Linked DNA regions of Mus musculus. The protein of the gene in region 2 purifies or fractionates together with the protein of the main gene of each other region. This does not show direct contact. Links are inferred from orthologs where the notes say so. Each region holds a gene or a part of one and is shown on either strand. Other genes may lie near its edges.

The links.
Region 1: the proteins of Cav1 (region 2) and Trpc1 purify together in Homo sapiens (affinity purification with western blotting; 3 studies listed by BioGRID and IntAct, with this or other methods). This does not show direct contact. The link is inferred for Mus musculus from reciprocal best matches to the Homo sapiens genes CAV1 and TRPC1.
Region 3: the proteins of Cav1 (region 2) and Kcna5 purify together in Homo sapiens (affinity purification with western blotting, with the first as the bait; 3 studies listed by BioGRID). This does not show direct contact. The link is inferred for Mus musculus from reciprocal best matches to the Homo sapiens genes CAV1 and KCNA5.

The regions. Positions count from the first base shown.
Region 1 is NC_000075.6:95,746,149-95,752,404, forward strand, and holds the start of Trpc1 (short transient receptor potential channel 1), read right to left. Parts: upstream 4,201-6,256; 5' UTR 3,740-4,200; coding exon of another isoform or gene 3,692-3,739; coding exon 3,520-3,691; intron 1-3,519. UniProt on the Homo sapiens protein: Forms a receptor-activated non-selective calcium permeant cation channel. Forms a heteromeric ion channel with TRPC4 or TRPC5 that has reduced calcium permeability compared to the homomeric TRPC4 or TRPC5 channel.
Region 2 is NC_000072.6:17,336,763-17,340,971, forward strand, and holds part of Cav1 (caveolin-1), read left to right. Parts: intron 1-2,350; coding exon 2,351-2,692; 3' UTR 2,693-4,209. UniProt on the Homo sapiens protein: May act as a scaffolding protein within caveolar membranes. Forms a stable heterooligomeric complex with CAV2 that targets to lipid rafts and drives caveolae formation. Mediates the recruitment of CAVIN proteins (CAVIN1/2/3/4) to the caveolae.
Region 3 is NC_000072.6:126,531,356-126,537,412, reverse strand, and holds Kcna5 (potassium voltage-gated channel subfamily A member 5), read left to right. Parts: upstream 1-1,857; 5' UTR 1,858-2,249; coding exon 2,250-4,058; 3' UTR 4,059-4,862; downstream 4,863-6,057. UniProt on the Homo sapiens protein: Voltage-gated potassium channel that mediates transmembrane potassium transport in excitable membranes. Forms tetrameric potassium-selective channels through which potassium ions pass in accordance with their electrochemical gradient.

The sequences.
Region 1 (6,256 bases), on a different chromosome or scaffold from region 2:
CAAAATGAAGTTGGATTCAGTTCACAGTGGGCTCTTTTCTGTATTATTACTCAATGCTTTGTACTTTAACATGGGGGGGGGGGCAACAAAATTGTTCTGGAAAAGGGCCAGGCATTAAAATATGCTAAGCTTTGTAGGACGTGGTACCTCAGTCACAAGTGTACTCAGACCCTTTTGCATCCAAGCAGACACAGAGCATACGGAAATGAATGAAGATGTGTAGCAATAAAACTTTTCAAATTTCATAGAATTCTCATGTTATAAAACTTTTCTTTTAATTAGAAACATTTCCTAGTATTTAAGATACAAAATGTAAAAGTCAGAGTTAGCTCACAGGCTTTGCAAAAACAGATTTGGCTTAGGGATCAGCTAGCCACCCATGTTCTAGCCCTTCCTCTTCAAAGCATATTATTCTTATAACTTGTGGACTTCTAGCATCCTCAATGGGCACTATTTTTACTGGAATCTATGAAGTCCACTGGAAACTGGGCTAGCAATTGTAATAGTATGTATCGCAACAATAAATTTCCTCTGTCCAACTCTAATAAATCCTTAAGAGAAATTCAGTAGAGAAGTGTTACAATATCAGTTAGGAAAGATGATTCTCCATTCCCTCACTGGCTTCTCCTTTGACTTTCTAACATATGGTGGTAAATCTCACCATTCCTGAAATGATGACAGCTTTAATGTTGATCAGTTTTGCTACATGTGGTGGCTCATGCCTATCATCCCAGCACCCAGGAAGCAGAAGCAGGAGGGTTGCTGTAAGTTTGAGGTCAGCCTAGACTACTTACATAGTGAATTCCAGGCCAACATGGACTACAGGCCCAAGCTAGATTTGAGGCTAGTTGTGAAGTGTGGGAAGCTTTTGTGTCAGAATATTTATAAATCTTTTCAAACCAAACTTTCTACAAAATACTTTTGACATGGAATTATGACACTCTACTTAAAATATTTCTAATTAATATTAAAACAGATTAAGAGAAAAAAAAAAGCTTTGGAACCCAAAGAAATCCTACTGGAACTCATAAGTAATTGCTTTGGTGCTGGAATTTAGTCCTGATCGTTCACTTTTGCTTTTTAATGTTATCAATTATGGCTTCTAAGTAACATTTGAACTTCTCATTACCTATATTAAACTATTACTCCTAGTCTTAGGTTCTTTGGCATCACTAAATTTGGTGCAATCAGTCTGAAGTTTATAGTACTAGGGACAAGAGAAACTGAGATTACAACAGTGCTTGTACATTCAGATTTAACCTTTAAACACCCTTCAGTCTCTTAACACACAATGTACTAATGTTTCACTTGGGTAATGTGTTTTTAACGTCCCAGGGGAGAGAGGACTCTGTACTAGGGCCAGCCTGCCTTCCAAACCTCATTAGGCCACTTAAGCTAAACCGAAGCTTAACTTGTGTGTGCTCAGAGATATCCATTATGCACATACACATACATTTTTACCCTTACTCTTCCTCACTACTGCACATAAAGAAAACATCTTTATGGGGCCGGGCGGTGGTGGTGCACGCCTTTAATCCCAGCACTTGGGAGGCAGAGGCAGGTGGATTTCTGAGTTCGAGGCCAGCCTGGTCTACAAAGTGAGTTCCAGGACAGCCAGGGATATACAGAGAAACCCTGTCTCAAAAAAAAAAATCTTTATTAGAGAAAAATTCTTAAAGAATATGGACGTAGTCAGTTACTCATTAATAGAGCTTTTTGTCCAATGCTTTAACACAATTAAGAACTTCATGTTTATAATAGCAAGGCAAAGAGCAGCAAGTTAAAAAGAATAAAACGAAACACATTGTGAGGTCAGTAGATATGCCAGTAAGGTAGCTAGCTGCTCTACCATCCTTCATTAAAATAACCGCGAACCACTTCCCATGGTACACTTCTCAACTAGTGTGTTCTAAAGCTTTGGTGATTTACAAAATGTCCCTGTACAGAGTGCTTAAGTTCTATAACCAGTGACACTTGTGAGCTGTATAGAACGATGCCTATATAGCTCCAGTACCCTACATACTAATTATACTCTCTTCACCCCTCCTTTATGCAAATTATTTTCCTCATCATACACATCTTTATATTAGGTGCTGACTACCAATATAAAACTTCTCAACCAAATACTCAGGTCTCTGCTTCTTAATTACCCAAACCGCTCTCCTCCCTAACCTCACACCCTTCAAATCTCCTCCAAAATAGGGAAAACAGAAAGTACCACTAAATATATTAAGGAAGGTGTTAATACAACAGTGGCATATATTCTCCAGGAAATGTTGCACATTTTGAAACCATCCTGAGCCCCGAGGCACACAAAGCTGCTACAGAAACCTAAAGCATCCTTCCTTATAATGCAGCAAGCCTCTCACGAAGGTGACAGAAGACAACTAGGAGGAACCAGGGGACACGGGGAATTCTGCCCTCCCCATCCTGGCTCTAAATCCATGATGAAATGTCAAGAAGGGATTGCCTTTTGGCCTGGCTAAGATTAAACATAATCATGTAAAAAAAAACAAAAACCTATCTCAAATGCTTTAAAAGGTTTAGGGAGATGTTGTTGACTTAAACCTCTATATGTGAACAAATCCAAAAACTTCTGTAACTAGTTTTCCCATAGTGTGAGCTGGCCTCTGGAAGTAGGCTTCAGAAGTCTGCATGGTTCCAACAACGTTTTCCCAAATAAACACTGCCTTTCAACATCCAACTGCTTAACTGAGGAATGAGAATGTTTCAGTACTTTTTTTGTTTTTCAGATAAGAGATAAAAGCAATCTGGGAGCAACCAAGTTCCATGCTTGTCTTTTAATGTGGCCAGAAAGTGATCAATTTTTAGATTCAAAACCAGTATATTCCACATTATTTCGCCTATATTTACTTTTTTTTTTTTTTTACTACCTTTGCCTCCCTCCAACTCTCTGAAGCAATAAATCTTTCTCCCTAATAAAAAATACCGACATTTAAAAGGGGTTCCAGAAATTTGGGGAAAGTTTCGGCAACTAGGGCAGGATTTTTCGTATTATTTGTGTTAAAGATAATGGGATACTACTCAACTGTAACAGGCTAAGGCACTGCTGGCTGATGCTAAACAGAAGTAAAAGTCTTTTTTAAAAATAACAACAACAACAACAACAACAAACCTACAAGGTGACAGCCCATAAATCGGAGAAGTCTTAAGGGAAATTCGTAGAATTTTCGGATTAGGTCCAAAACTAGCCTCTGGCTCCCAAAGGAAGAAGTAACTTCAAACTAGAGTTTATTAGTGACAGAAGTGGGGCAACTTTGGGATCAAGGCTCCCTCCTCGCCATGGAAACGTCCCACCTGCGCGAGTCCACCGCCCCCGCCCTACCTGCCTGCTGCTCAAGCTCAATTAGGCAGAAGTCCTGCGGGCTGCACAGAGGTGGGAATAGCCGCTGCACACAAGGAAAAGCACGAGTGCCAGGAGTTAAGTTGAGGCAGGGGCCGGACCCGGGGAGTGGGTGCTAGGGTGTCCGGAGGTGGAGAAGGGGGCCTAGCTCTCACCCTTGTCGCACGCCAGCAAGAAAAGCTTCTCATTCAAGGTGTTCTCCTCCTTCACCTCTCGCACATCCTTCAGCGCCATCACTTCGTTGGGCGACGAGGAGGATGGGGAGGAAGGCAGGGAGGAGGAGGAGACGCCCGAGAGGTCCGTGCTCGGGTACAGGGCCGCCATCATCGCGGCCCACGACGGGGGCAGGCCAGGAGACGGAGGCGGGGCCCCCATGGGCGCCGACCCCGACCCCGACCCCGAGCTGGAAAACGGGTGAGTCGTTCCCACGGCCACATCGGCGTGCGGCCCGTTGGCCCCGAAGGGCGTCGCCTCGCCCCGAAACCAGCACTCGCCCTCCACGGACAGCCCCAGGTTGGTGGCCGCGCTGGCGCGGCCCCGGGGCCAGCGCCCTCTGCCCAGCCGCCGGCGCCCCGGTCGAGCTGGTCCGCGCCCGTCCGGGGACGACAGAGTGGAGCGCGCCAGGGCGGCAGCCGAGCGCGGGGCCGTGCCAGGAGCCGCAGGGGCCGCACAGGGAGCGGCCCGGCCTGGGAGGGAGTGAGGGGGCCGCCGGCCGGAGAGCTCGGCGGTGCGCTTCGCAGCACGTCTGGCTCCGGGGCTGTGGGAACCGCTGGCCCAGCAGCACCCACAGGAGGCAGAGGTTCGCGGCTTTCTCCTCACGTCATCCTCAGCCCCGCGGAGGCGACGACACCGGGGCGGGGCTTAAGGCGAAGCCGGGCTAGGGGCGGGGCTTGTAGGGGCGGGGCTCCAGGGCTGACGCGCCTCTCTGGTCGGTCGCCTAGCATCTTGGGCGCGTCTGCAGCATCTTTGAGCACCTGAGGGCATGGGAACCGCTTGGTGGCGGATTTCAGGTAATTTTATCCGCTGCCTGTTTGTGCTGCTGCTGCTACTGCAGCACAGAAAAGGGCCAAGGAGCTTCTGAAGGATTAACGTTTACTTGAAATCCTGTACGGAATTGTCCTAAAGCCTGGCCAAAGCAACCTGATTATGGAGTTTGTGTTTACAGTTCCCTCGTTCCTAAAGGCGTTTTAAAAACAATCTTTGTGATTTAATATGGTCTAACATTCCTGATATTTCCAAAGTCACTATAAAAGTATTCGCATGTAAGTCAAAGGCGACCTATAACCGTTGCATAAGCACAGTTTAGGAGTTACTCGCCATACAAGTCCTTTTAGTGGATTCGTTATATTTATCCTATCTAATTTTAAGAGATTCGCTATTTAGACAACAATTGTCTGACGTCCAGCAAATGCGACTTGAAAACTGCATCTTTTCAATAATTTTTAATTGCTTCCTGCAGTCAACACTAGGGGGAAAATCTGAACTCTACGTTTAAGATTTAGATTTTTAAAGCAATGGATAAATGTACTTAAATTTGAGGGGAATACTGCCTCTCCTATTCAGGCTACTTTGTCCCATTAGTTTCTCTTTCAACATTTAACTTACTAATTCTTAAAAATCAATGTTCTCTTTAGATATTCTCTAAAAGTCTTTGATGTCGAAGTCATCTTTTCAAACGTTTTCTGTATTTGATGTAAATGATAATCTCAAGTTGCTCCAGTTTTTGTTTCTAAATGATCTCCCCGTTGTCGTGTAATGTTTAATACACTTCCAAGTTTATGAGTTTGGTGAAATTTCCAAGAGGCTCAAGGTGAAGCCAGTGGGAGAGAGGAGCGCCCATACATTTGTATATGCACCTCCTTTGTTGCTCAGCAAAATGTTTAGCCAGTAGTAGAAATCTAATCCTGCGCTATCTGAAATTTCAGTATTTGAAGTTAACTCAAATGACTCACAGCCATACACAGATTCTTTATCCAAAGAACTATGGGACTGGATTACTTTCTAAGACTGGAGGGAATTCCAACCCTCTTTGGTAGTAATCTTAAGAGACCTTCCAAAGCACTAGAGAGCCTACTTCAGGCAAGCTGATAATTATAATGCAGGCTTTTGGATTGTCTCCGATACAGACAAACTGCTCAGCGGGCATAAATTGGGACATTCTAACAATACCTACATACTTAGCACATGTGATATGTAGATCAGTATTGGAGTTATGATGAACAATGGTATTCAAAAAACTCAAAAGTGGCATATTACTCTAAGCAACTCCATCAAGTCACAGGCAAACAAAACAGAAACCAAAAGAGGAATCACAACTCCAGCCAGAGAGGGGAAAGAAACTCAGATTTAGATCTAGTCCTACAAGTAGGATGCTACTGATATTTTTCATGTTCTCCTCCCTTTACTCCCGAGGAGCACATCTGTCTCTTTTTCATGGCGCCCACTCGATTGCTTTTCCTCAGAGAGCCCTGACCTCGCTACCCAGAAAACCTCCCCCTCTGCTCTCAGTCAGTCTGCAGCAAATCTCCCCCCACTCCAATGGTCTCTCGGTTTCTTCCCTGCTTCATTTCTTGTTGTTGCTTTATTGGCTGGCCGTCTCTACTAGGATGTAAGTCAAAAGGCTGTTTCTACTTGTCTTAGCTGAGGTCCAAGAATCTAGTTGTGGTACTTGGACACTGGAGACAATAAATTAATGCTAATTATTTTATCCACTCAAATGATTTCATCACAAACTAAGTTTATAACAATCACGCAGTTTGTCTTTTTTTTTTTTTTAATCTTCATATGAGGGCTGGTGAGATGGCTTAGTGGATAAGAGTGCTGGTTGTTCAAACCTGAAGCCCTGAGTTCGATTCCCATGAAGGTGTAAGGAGAAAACTGACCCAACAAATT
Region 2 (4,209 bases):
AGCAATGGGCCTTTGTACACTTTGTATGCTCCAGCAGTTCTGCCCGCCCAGGAGATTTGTCAATCACCATGCATTATCCTTTGATCCAAGATTTAAATTTTACTGATGATTTTGCAGTTTTGCACTTTCATGTTTTAAATAATAAGACTATATTTTAAATGAATTGAAGGGAAAAAATCTTAATTTCTCATTTTCATTGCTTTGGGAAGAATGTATTATCATAACCTTACACACAGACAATTATAAATAAATTGAATGAAACATCATTCAAGTGTTGGTCTGATTTGCCTTATGCTCCCTCCATTTTCTCTAAGTGTGTGTGTGTGTGTGTGTGTGTGTGTGTGTGTGTGTGTGTGTTTCAGAGGACATGTCAGAGATTGTTTTTCCAAACCCACCCATCATTTTTTATTAACCATAAACTCTCTCGCTAGTCTGGAACTCCCTGCTCAGATTAGTCTGGCTGGCCTGCTGAGCCCTATGTCTGGTGGGCTTTGGTTTGTTTGTTTGTTTGTATGTTTGCCTGTTTGTATGTTTGCTTGTTTGTTTACTCTTTTTTTAAGTGTGTTCTGAGGACCAAACTCATGTCCTTGTGCTTGCACCTGAGCTATCTGGATTCTACAATCTGCTAAACACACACACACACACACACACACACACACACACACACACACAAGTAAATATTTACCTCAGTCTAGTTCTGAATGTTCTAAGGAAAATACAATAACAATAAATCTATTTAACTTCATTTGCAAAATTATAACCAAGCCATTTTGCATATTATATTATTAGGACATTGGGCAATAGAGAAAGGAACAGAATGTTCTAGAAAATAAACTTTAAGACTGGTAAGCGTCACGTACTTTTTCCAAAGATACTTTGGTGTGCTGAATCAAAGGTGGCTCTTTGACACTGAGCCACAGCCTGAAGGAACCCAAGTTCTAGCCTAGCTCTGCAGGGCTGCTGCTGGTCAAAGACATCAGTTTCTTTGAATTTCAAACTATGCTAGAGCCCCTCACATAGCAGCCACCAGGAAGGAGTTGCTCTATTCTGCCTTCCTGATGATAACTGCTTTTAATCTTGTGTTTCATTTAGTTTATATAAAGCCTAAGAAGTAACTATGTAGGTGAGTAAGTGAGACCTTGCAAAAGAACTGAATTTGCACTGGGATCCTCCTATTGCGGTGTGTGCATCTGTCTTTAGAAAGTCACCATATGTCTCTTCTTTTGTAAAGTGACAGAAACCTACTGTTCTAGGTCACCAATGCAAAGAAGCAGTTGTAAGTGCTGCGTGACTGCAAATTTGGTTGATTGCTTTCCAGTGGCTTCCTAAAATGGACTTCTGAAATATCCATGATTCTTGGACCATTGGTATTTGTCTTAATCATTACCAAAAACTATATTCTCAATTTATCTAACTCTAAGGTGAGGTTCCGATCTGCTAACTTAATTTTTCTCTCTCTAATATTCTCCTTGCTCTAATGTCACCTGTGTTCTCCCTAACAGTCCTATTGAGAGTTCAAAGGTCATCCTTTGTTCCTCTCTTTGAAATAACACTCAGACACACATACTCACACACTTAGATACTCACACTCCTTGTCAAATTCATCTAAAGAAACTGTGTGTCTGTAGCTGCTCTTCCCTGTTCTAACATCTTCAAAGACCCTCACTGTATGGAAAACAATACCCATTCTGGCCTCAAAATGTCTTCTGATGTGGTCACTCTGGTCTCCTTTGCCTGTGACACTCCTGGGTCTCATTCTTACTTGCTCCTGATGGTTGGATCCCAGCATTCCCATGCACCTTGAATTTCCCCATCACATACATTTCCAAAGCTCTGCTTTGCCACCCCACAGTCATTTCTGTGCCTCAACTCGCAGTGATGATAACTCCATGAAAGGATTTTGTTAATCCTGTTATAAAAGTCATTAACAGATTTGTCTAATTCTAACTGGGTCTAGTATTTAACACTGGATTATGATTGTCTTTGAAGGCAGTAAAAATTTAGGTCACATTATTTACCTCTTACTGAGTGCTGGGTGTCCTTACTCATGTTCCTGAGTTTCGCTTTAAACCACATCTATTTAACCTGAGCAGTAGTCCTCAGCAGATGACACAGCAAAGAAACACCTGGGATGTAGGTTAAAATACTTTTCTGCTCCACCCTAGAATAATCAGATCTAAGGAGAACCATATATTCATGTTCCCAGTGAGGTCCAAGGAGGCAGGTGCTGCTGATGGCTGCTGATTGCCTTGCACAGGGCTGGCACACAAATCTTACACATTTGCATACATCTCACACGGTCTTCCCCCCCTTTCTTCTGTTCTCACATTCTGCTCCTTCTTTCTTTCAGATTGACTTTGAAGATGTGATTGCAGAACCAGAAGGGACACACAGTTTCGACGGCATCTGGAAGGCCAGCTTCACCACCTTCACTGTGACAAAATATTGGTTTTACCGCTTGTTGTCTACGATCTTCGGCATCCCAATGGCACTCATCTGGGGCATTTACTTTGCCATTCTCTCCTTCCTGCACATCTGGGCGGTTGTACCGTGCATCAAGAGCTTCCTGATTGAGATTCAGTGCATCAGCCGCGTCTACTCCATCTACGTCCATACCTTCTGCGATCCACTCTTTGAAGCTATTGGCAAGATATTCAGCAACATCCGCATCAGCACGCAGAAAGAGATATGAGGGACATTTCAAGGATGAAAGGTTTTTTTCCCCCCTTACTATTTCCTTGGTGCCAATTCCAAGTTGCTCTCGCAGCAGCAAATTTATGAATGGTTTGTCTTGATCAAGAACAAAGAATTCATTCCCACCATTCTCATATATACTACTTGTCTCTTCTAAGCTACTGCATCTATGTTTGACAGTCTGGAATGTTTAAACCCATTCCTGCTCTCTCTTTTATATGTGAATCATTGTTTCATTGGCTAAAATATAAACATATTGTTGAAAGATGATTTGAGAAAAATAGGAAGGACTGGGAGGCAGGGAAGAGTACCAACAACCTCAACTGCCTACTCAAAGGTGATGATGTCATACAAAGGGAAGAGATTCAGGTTACGGCCATTTGTTTAGGGGCATGAAGGAACGTTTTTAATATATGCCAGTTATCTAAGGAATTGGTTGCTGTCCTCACTCTTAACAATCCAGTTAGATTTAGGGATTTAGGGATCACCATCAATTTGGAGACTATAATCTTCATGATACCAACAATGTTTTACTTATCCTGGCATTTTAACCTGTTATTTTGTATGCCTGAATATTTGCTATACTGAGAATAAGACCTACGTGCCTTCTAATTTTTCATGTTTTTTTTTTTTCCAAATAGGATCTAACTCATCTACTTGCATGATGCCGGCAGCTTTCCTAAAAACAAAACATACAAATTGCACTTGCTAGTTCTCTGTACTTGTTTCTGACTCTGAAATACAGAACCTGTTGATGTTGATATCTGTGCTCAGCTATGTAGCATCTTTCTCTCTGTTAAGCCTGGTCAACATTAACCCAATGAAATGATTTGAAGCAGACAAATGGGGGTGAGACCTCTCTGGACTGGCAGAAGTAGAAGCCAGCTTTCCCTGCCACTCAGCAACTGAATGAGGCCAGCGTGTCTATTCAGTTTCACTCATTTTCAAGAATAATCACAGGTTCCTGACTCTAAGCCAGCCCCTCACCAGGATCAAGGTTTAGTGACTGACTGGGATGATTTAGGAGCTCAACATTGTACTTCCTTTTCAGCTGATGAGTGAACCTCCAGGGAGGGGTGTCAAAAAGGAGGCTGCTAAACCGAGACTGCCAAGCCTGTTGTAAACATGACCCCTTTTATGCAAAGCCCTTGCAATAGTCTGCAATGCTGTGAAGCTCGACCTTTCCCCCTGCAAGGAACCTTTGACCTAATCCAACCATCATTTTGTTCAGAAAGGTGGGGGAAGGGTGGTAACAAAAGCTTGAGGTAATGTTCTTGCTGTAATAAATTCAAGTTTTTCTGAACCCAAACTGAGGAATTTCACCTGTGTACCTGAGTCTCCAGAAAGCTGCCTGCCTGGGACACCCAAAAGCCTTTTACTTCCCAGCTCACATTACAGCTCTGCCCTTGGGGATATTTTTAAAATTCCAGATAGGCTTTCATTTTCACTTTCATACATGTATTGGAACCCTGCTTGACTTGTTTTCTCCTTCAGTCTTGCCGACACTTTACCAAC
Region 3 (6,057 bases), about 110 Mb from region 2:
TTAGGCAGTAGTGGAAAACTTGCCTAGTATGTATCAGGTCCTAGGTTAGATCCTCAACTCCTTAGTAAATGAAGAATTAATAAACCATGGCACTGTGGAGTGGCGAGTGCAATGTCGTAACGCTGGCTGCTGACACCCCCTCATGTCACCTGTCACATCCACACTCAATCCTCATCCTTGCATCTCTGCTAACACCATTTACATGAAGTCACATGCAGCCAAATGTCTGCACACACCCACTTCCCAGCAACCTTCTTGTACAAATCCACTAATGAAGTCACATCCTCTGCATTTCCAGAGGCAACGCAAGTTTGTGTGGCCTTTGCTGTTTCAACAAACTTTGCCTCAAGTTTCCAAAGCACCTGTATTTGTAGACTCATTCACAGACAATAGGTGGTGACATCCCTGGAGTAGAATCTCAAACAATATGCAGGAAAAGAAAATAGACAATATAATCAGACACTCTGAATTACAGCAACTTTCCAGCAATGTAAAAACAAAAAACATCTGGAGGAAGCTGTATCTAGAATTGGCTGACAGACCTTGAAAAATCCTCCCCTTGGCTTTTGGAGACCACAACAGCCTCAGAGACTAAAGACAAGGGCAGAGTGTAGAGAGGGACCCTGGCATCCCAGCCTAGAACCCAATCTTTATCTTACTCATTCTTCTGCCTCCTGCAATGGAAGAAGGGCCTCAGGCCAGATGTGGGGAGGGGAGAAAGAAGCGAGCTCCCTAAACCCAGCAACTTGGGTTTGAATTGCAGCGTTGATACTTTCTAGTTCTGTGGCCTCCATATACAATGTAGTCAAGTTCTGTGGCCTCCATATACAATGTAGTCAATCTATCTGTGCCTGAGTTTCTTTGTATGTTGAAGGTAGTCCTAGTACTTACAAAGTAAGCTGATGCAAAAACACACAAGTCCAGAATGATCTGGACATACTAGCAATAAATAAGTCCCTCTGCCTCCTCTTTACACAGGTTTCTATGCAGTCGCTAGCTTAGAGCTTTCCCGTGCACAATTATTCTCCACCAGGATTTATTCTCTTTTCTCACTGTGCATTTTACAAAAAGAGGATTAGGTGAGGAGGCTGGAGGGATGGCGAAGAATGCAGAGGCAGGAGACCAGACAGCTTCTCTCTCAGTTGAGACTCCTCCTGGCTCCATACTAGCAGATCAAATCACCAATGTCTGGATGATGAAAAGCAGGCTTAAGGGGGTGCTGTGAGGTCTCAGTCTCATACCTTCCAATGGATCTGTAGATAGACTGGAAGAGTTCCAGAGTACACACACACACACACACACACACACACACACACACACACACACACAGCTCGCTGCTCCCCTGCAGTGTCATTTTTCCCAAAGAGAGAGGCTGTTAATCTATAAAGCATTGGTTTTGCAACCTGTGGTTCACAATCCTTTTGGCAAACCTCTATTTCCAATAATATTTACATTACACTTCAGTAACAAATTCCATTTATGTTATGATAACAATAGTAAAATCACAGTTATGAAGTAGCAACAAAAATAAATTTACCGTTGTGGGGTTCACCACAACATGAGGAACAGTGTTAAAGGTTGCAGCAGCATTAGCAAGGTTGAGAAGCACTGCTCTAAAAGAAAAACACCCAGAGCACTCTCTTCTCCACTCACTGGAACTCAGCTACAAGCCTTCCCCTTGCATCTAAAGCAGTTCCCACCCCCTGGAGTCCCCTTTCCGCTTTCTGTGCATTCCCAGGTGATCTGAGATCCTGAAGCTATTCTCATCCTGTTGCCCTGGGAGTTTTCAGCGCTCCTGGTACAACCTGTTCCTCGCTCCTCAGGCTCTTTTCCTCCTCCCCTTCCTGTCCTTGCTGCTGGGGCCCCAGCTGAACCCTCCAGAGAGACACTCTCTGACTCCGTCCCCAGAGGAGAAACAGGAGGGGGAGGAGGAGAGGAGGGAGCCACAGAGGGCGGAGGCCGGGGAGCTCAGCCAGAGAGGGGCTGCTGGAGGTTGCATCTGCTGGAAGGAGGTTTTTCTGCTGCCTGGTAACCAGCTGCCAGAACACTGAGAGGGAGAGAGAGAGGCAGGGAGCAGGGGCAGCAGCTTCTTGACGTCAGGACCAGCCAAGGGGATCCAGCCAGCTACCCCAGCCAGCCTAGAGCCAGCGGGGGCCCTCGGCTGAAGAGGAAACCGCGAGGCGCGGAGCGTGAGTTGGGGTGTGGGAACCGGTTGTCTGGGGGCGCAGCATGCCCCTTGCCCCCGGGCCATGGAGATCTCCCTGGTGCCCATGGAGAACGGCAGTGCCATGACCCTCAGAGGAGGAGGGGAGGCAGGGGCAAGCTGTGTGCAGAGCCCCAGGGGAGAGTGTGGGTGCCCTCCGACGGCTGGACTCAATAATCAGTCCAAAGAAACATCACCGAGGAGGCGCGCCACACACGAGGATGCGGGCCAGGGTGGGAGGCCTTTGCCCCCTATGCCTCAGGAGCTGCCACAGCCTAGAAGGCCATCTGCTGAGGATGAGGAGGGAGAAGGCGACCCTGGCCTGGGCACAGTGGAGGAGGACCAGGCTCCTCAGGACTCAGGATCACTCCATCACCAGCGGGTCCTCATAAACATCTCGGGTTTGCGCTTTGAGACGCAGCTGGGCACCCTGGCGCAGTTTCCCAACACCCTCCTGGGGGACCCAGTCAAACGCCTGCGCTACTTCGATCCCTTGAGAAATGAGTACTTCTTCGACCGCAACCGGCCTAGCTTCGATGGCATTTTGTACTACTACCAGTCTGGGGGCCGCCTGCGCAGGCCGGTCAATGTCTCCCTGGATGTGTTTGCAGATGAGATCCGCTTTTACCAGCTGGGGGACGAGGCCATGGAGCGCTTCCGGGAGGATGAAGGCTTCATCAAGGAAGAGGAGAAGCCCCTGCCCCGCAATGAGTTCCAGCGCCAGGTGTGGCTTATCTTCGAATACCCAGAAAGCTCTGGGTCAGCAAGAGCCATTGCCATCGTGTCGGTCTTGGTCATTCTCATCTCTATCATCACCTTCTGCTTGGAGACTCTGCCTGAGTTCAGGGATGAACGGGAGCTGTTACGCCACCCCCCAGTGCCGCCGCAGCCCCCAGCCCCTGCCCCAGGGGCAAATGGCAGTGGCTCTGGTGTCCTTTCCTCTGGCCCCACAGTGGCTCCGCTCCTGCCTAGGACACTGGCTGACCCATTCTTCATCGTGGAGACCACATGTGTGATCTGGTTCACTTTTGAGCTGCTTGTGCGTTTCTTTGCTTGCCCCAGCAAGGCAGAATTCTCTCGGAATATTATGAACATCATTGATATTGTGGCCATCTTCCCCTACTTTATCACCCTGGGCACCGAGCTGGCAGAGCAACAACCAGGGGGTGGTGGTCAGAATGGGCAGCAGGCCATGTCCCTAGCCATCCTCAGGGTGATCCGCCTGGTCCGGGTGTTCCGAATCTTCAAGCTCTCCCGCCACTCCAAGGGACTGCAGATCCTGGGTAAGACCTTACAGGCGTCCATGCGGGAGCTCGGGCTGCTCATCTTCTTCCTCTTCATCGGAGTCATCCTCTTCTCCAGCGCTGTCTACTTCGCAGAGGCAGACAATCAGGGGTCGCACTTCTCCAGTATCCCGGATGCATTCTGGTGGGCAGTAGTCACTATGACCACTGTAGGCTACGGGGACATGAGGCCCATCACTGTAGGGGGCAAGATTGTGGGCTCACTGTGCGCCATAGCTGGGGTCCTCACCATTGCTCTGCCTGTGCCCGTCATCGTCTCCAATTTTAATTACTTCTATCATCGGGAGACAGACCACGAGGAGCAGGCTGCCCTGAAGGAAGAGCAAGGCATCCAGAGGCGGGAGTCTGGGCTGGACACAGGAGGTCAACGGAAGGTCAGCTGCAGCAAGGCCTCCTTCTGCAAGACTGGGGGACCCCTGGAGAGTACTGACAGTATCAGAAGGGGTAGCTGTCCTCTAGAAAAGTGTCACCTAAAGGCCAAGAGCAACGTGGACCTGCGAAGGTCTCTGTATGCCCTCTGTCTGGACACTAGCCGGGAAACAGATTTGTAAAGAGAGATCAAGGCAGACTTGCAACAGCAGAGCTGGGAACCGGTTCCTCTTGAGCTTGCTTATCTGCTTTACACCATAGAGTATTTAAGCCCACCTGGTCACCCATCAAAGTCCGGATCCTGTCTTTCCCCGTTTACCCTTCCCACCCTCCTGCCCTCTAACTTCCCCATCCCCCCCCCTTTCCATAACACCAAGGGTCACCTATTTTTAAAAAGTATCGCATTCCATGACGCAGGAGCCGTTGAAGTGGTGAGCATTCACTGTAAGATGGATGTATTCATAGCCAGTTTTCTATACCCAGCAGAGGGATAACTCAAACAAAATTGACTTTAAATAGCTCAGATCCCAAGAGAGTCCATAGCCCTCTCTATTCCTGTGTTCCAAATTTACTTTACACGTGATTATATTTGTATATGGCAAATATTATTCTTATGGCTGACGAGTGCATTTTGTACAGCAGTGCACATGAAGAATATTTGGGTGTGTTCTTAAGATGTACTTTGAATTATGAAGTCTTGGGGGGGGTCATCATTTCCTGGGACAACCCAGGGGCAGAGACACTAAAGAAGTTGTTCAAGTTTGTGTTCCCAAGCCTCCCATTATTCTGGGATGTACTATTGGTGCTTTGTGTCTAAGGTAGAGAATGTTCTAGAAGAGCAGCAAACCTGCTTTTTTTTTTATTCCCCTTAAACATATCCTGTGACTTTCTTCACAGAAGCATTTTAAGGATGTTGGAAGAAGGCTTTTGAGAATTCATTCTTTTCATTTTGATAGCAGGAAATAAAATGTGACTCTGTCGGGCAAGTGTTAGTTTGTCTACTGCTGAGGGTGTGACATGTTAATCAGTGAAGTCTGCCACTTGCTGTCTGGTATGAGCGCTGTCAGTGCAAATGCTCTGACAGGGTTAGAAAACTCAGGGAGCCCAGCATCCCCCTACCCCCCATCATTTACTTATTTGTTCATTCATTCATTCATTCATTCATTTGCATCCTGATCACAGCCCCCTTCTCCTCCCAGCCCTGCCCTCACAAATCCTTCCTCCCATTATCCCCTCTTCTTTTCCTGGAAAGGGGACTGCCTTCTCAGCCAATCTCAGCAAGACTAAGTGCAATCCTCTCCCACTGAGGTCTAACCAGGCAGCCCAGCTAGGAGAAGGGGATCCCAAGGGAGGCAACCAAGTCAGAGACAGTCTCTGCTCGACTCTTAGGGGACTCACATGAATGCCAAGCTAAGCTGCACATCTGCTGCAAGTGTGTAGGGCACCTAGTTCCAGTGTCTGCATGCTCCTTGGTTGGGGAGTCAGTCTCTGTGATCCCATGGACACAGGTTAGTCCAGCATCCTCTTTTTAATAGATCTCACTGAGCTTAAACAGAGGTTCCCAACCTCTAGGGGGAGACCCCTTTGGGGGTTCATATATCAGATATCCTGCATATCAGATATGTACATTGTGATTAATAACCATAGCAAAATTACAGTTGTGAAGTAGAAACAAAATGATTCTATGGTTGGGGGTCACTACAACATGAAGAACTGTATTAAAGGGTCGAAGCATTAGGAAGGCTGAAAACCACTGGCTTAGAAAGATGATAGATGGATTGTTTGTGTCTAGGCTGTGTGTGATGTGGGCCTATTACTGTCAACACAGACTCTAGATTTGAGGCTAAGGGAAAAGGGTGATGAGCCCCGCCCTGCAGCTGTCCTCTTATAGTCCCAGGCTCTGGGTTTCTCAAGGTTGTCTCCTTTACTGTAAGTCCCAAGTCCTTCTTGTTAATTGCTCAAGGGAGCTCAAAGAAGCAAGCCTGATGCTCACAGACAAGCCCTTTCAGAGGATCACAGTCTGATGAAGGTCACTCAGGGAGAGTTCCTGGCTGTTCACCACAGGAGCCATGTCTTCATGGCGGGGAGTATGGAAAGGTTTCATTGTTCCAGTTAAAGGACAAACTGTGGGTTCGCTCTCATAATCGTTCAACTCAGAATGAATCTCTTTGTTTCTCTTTC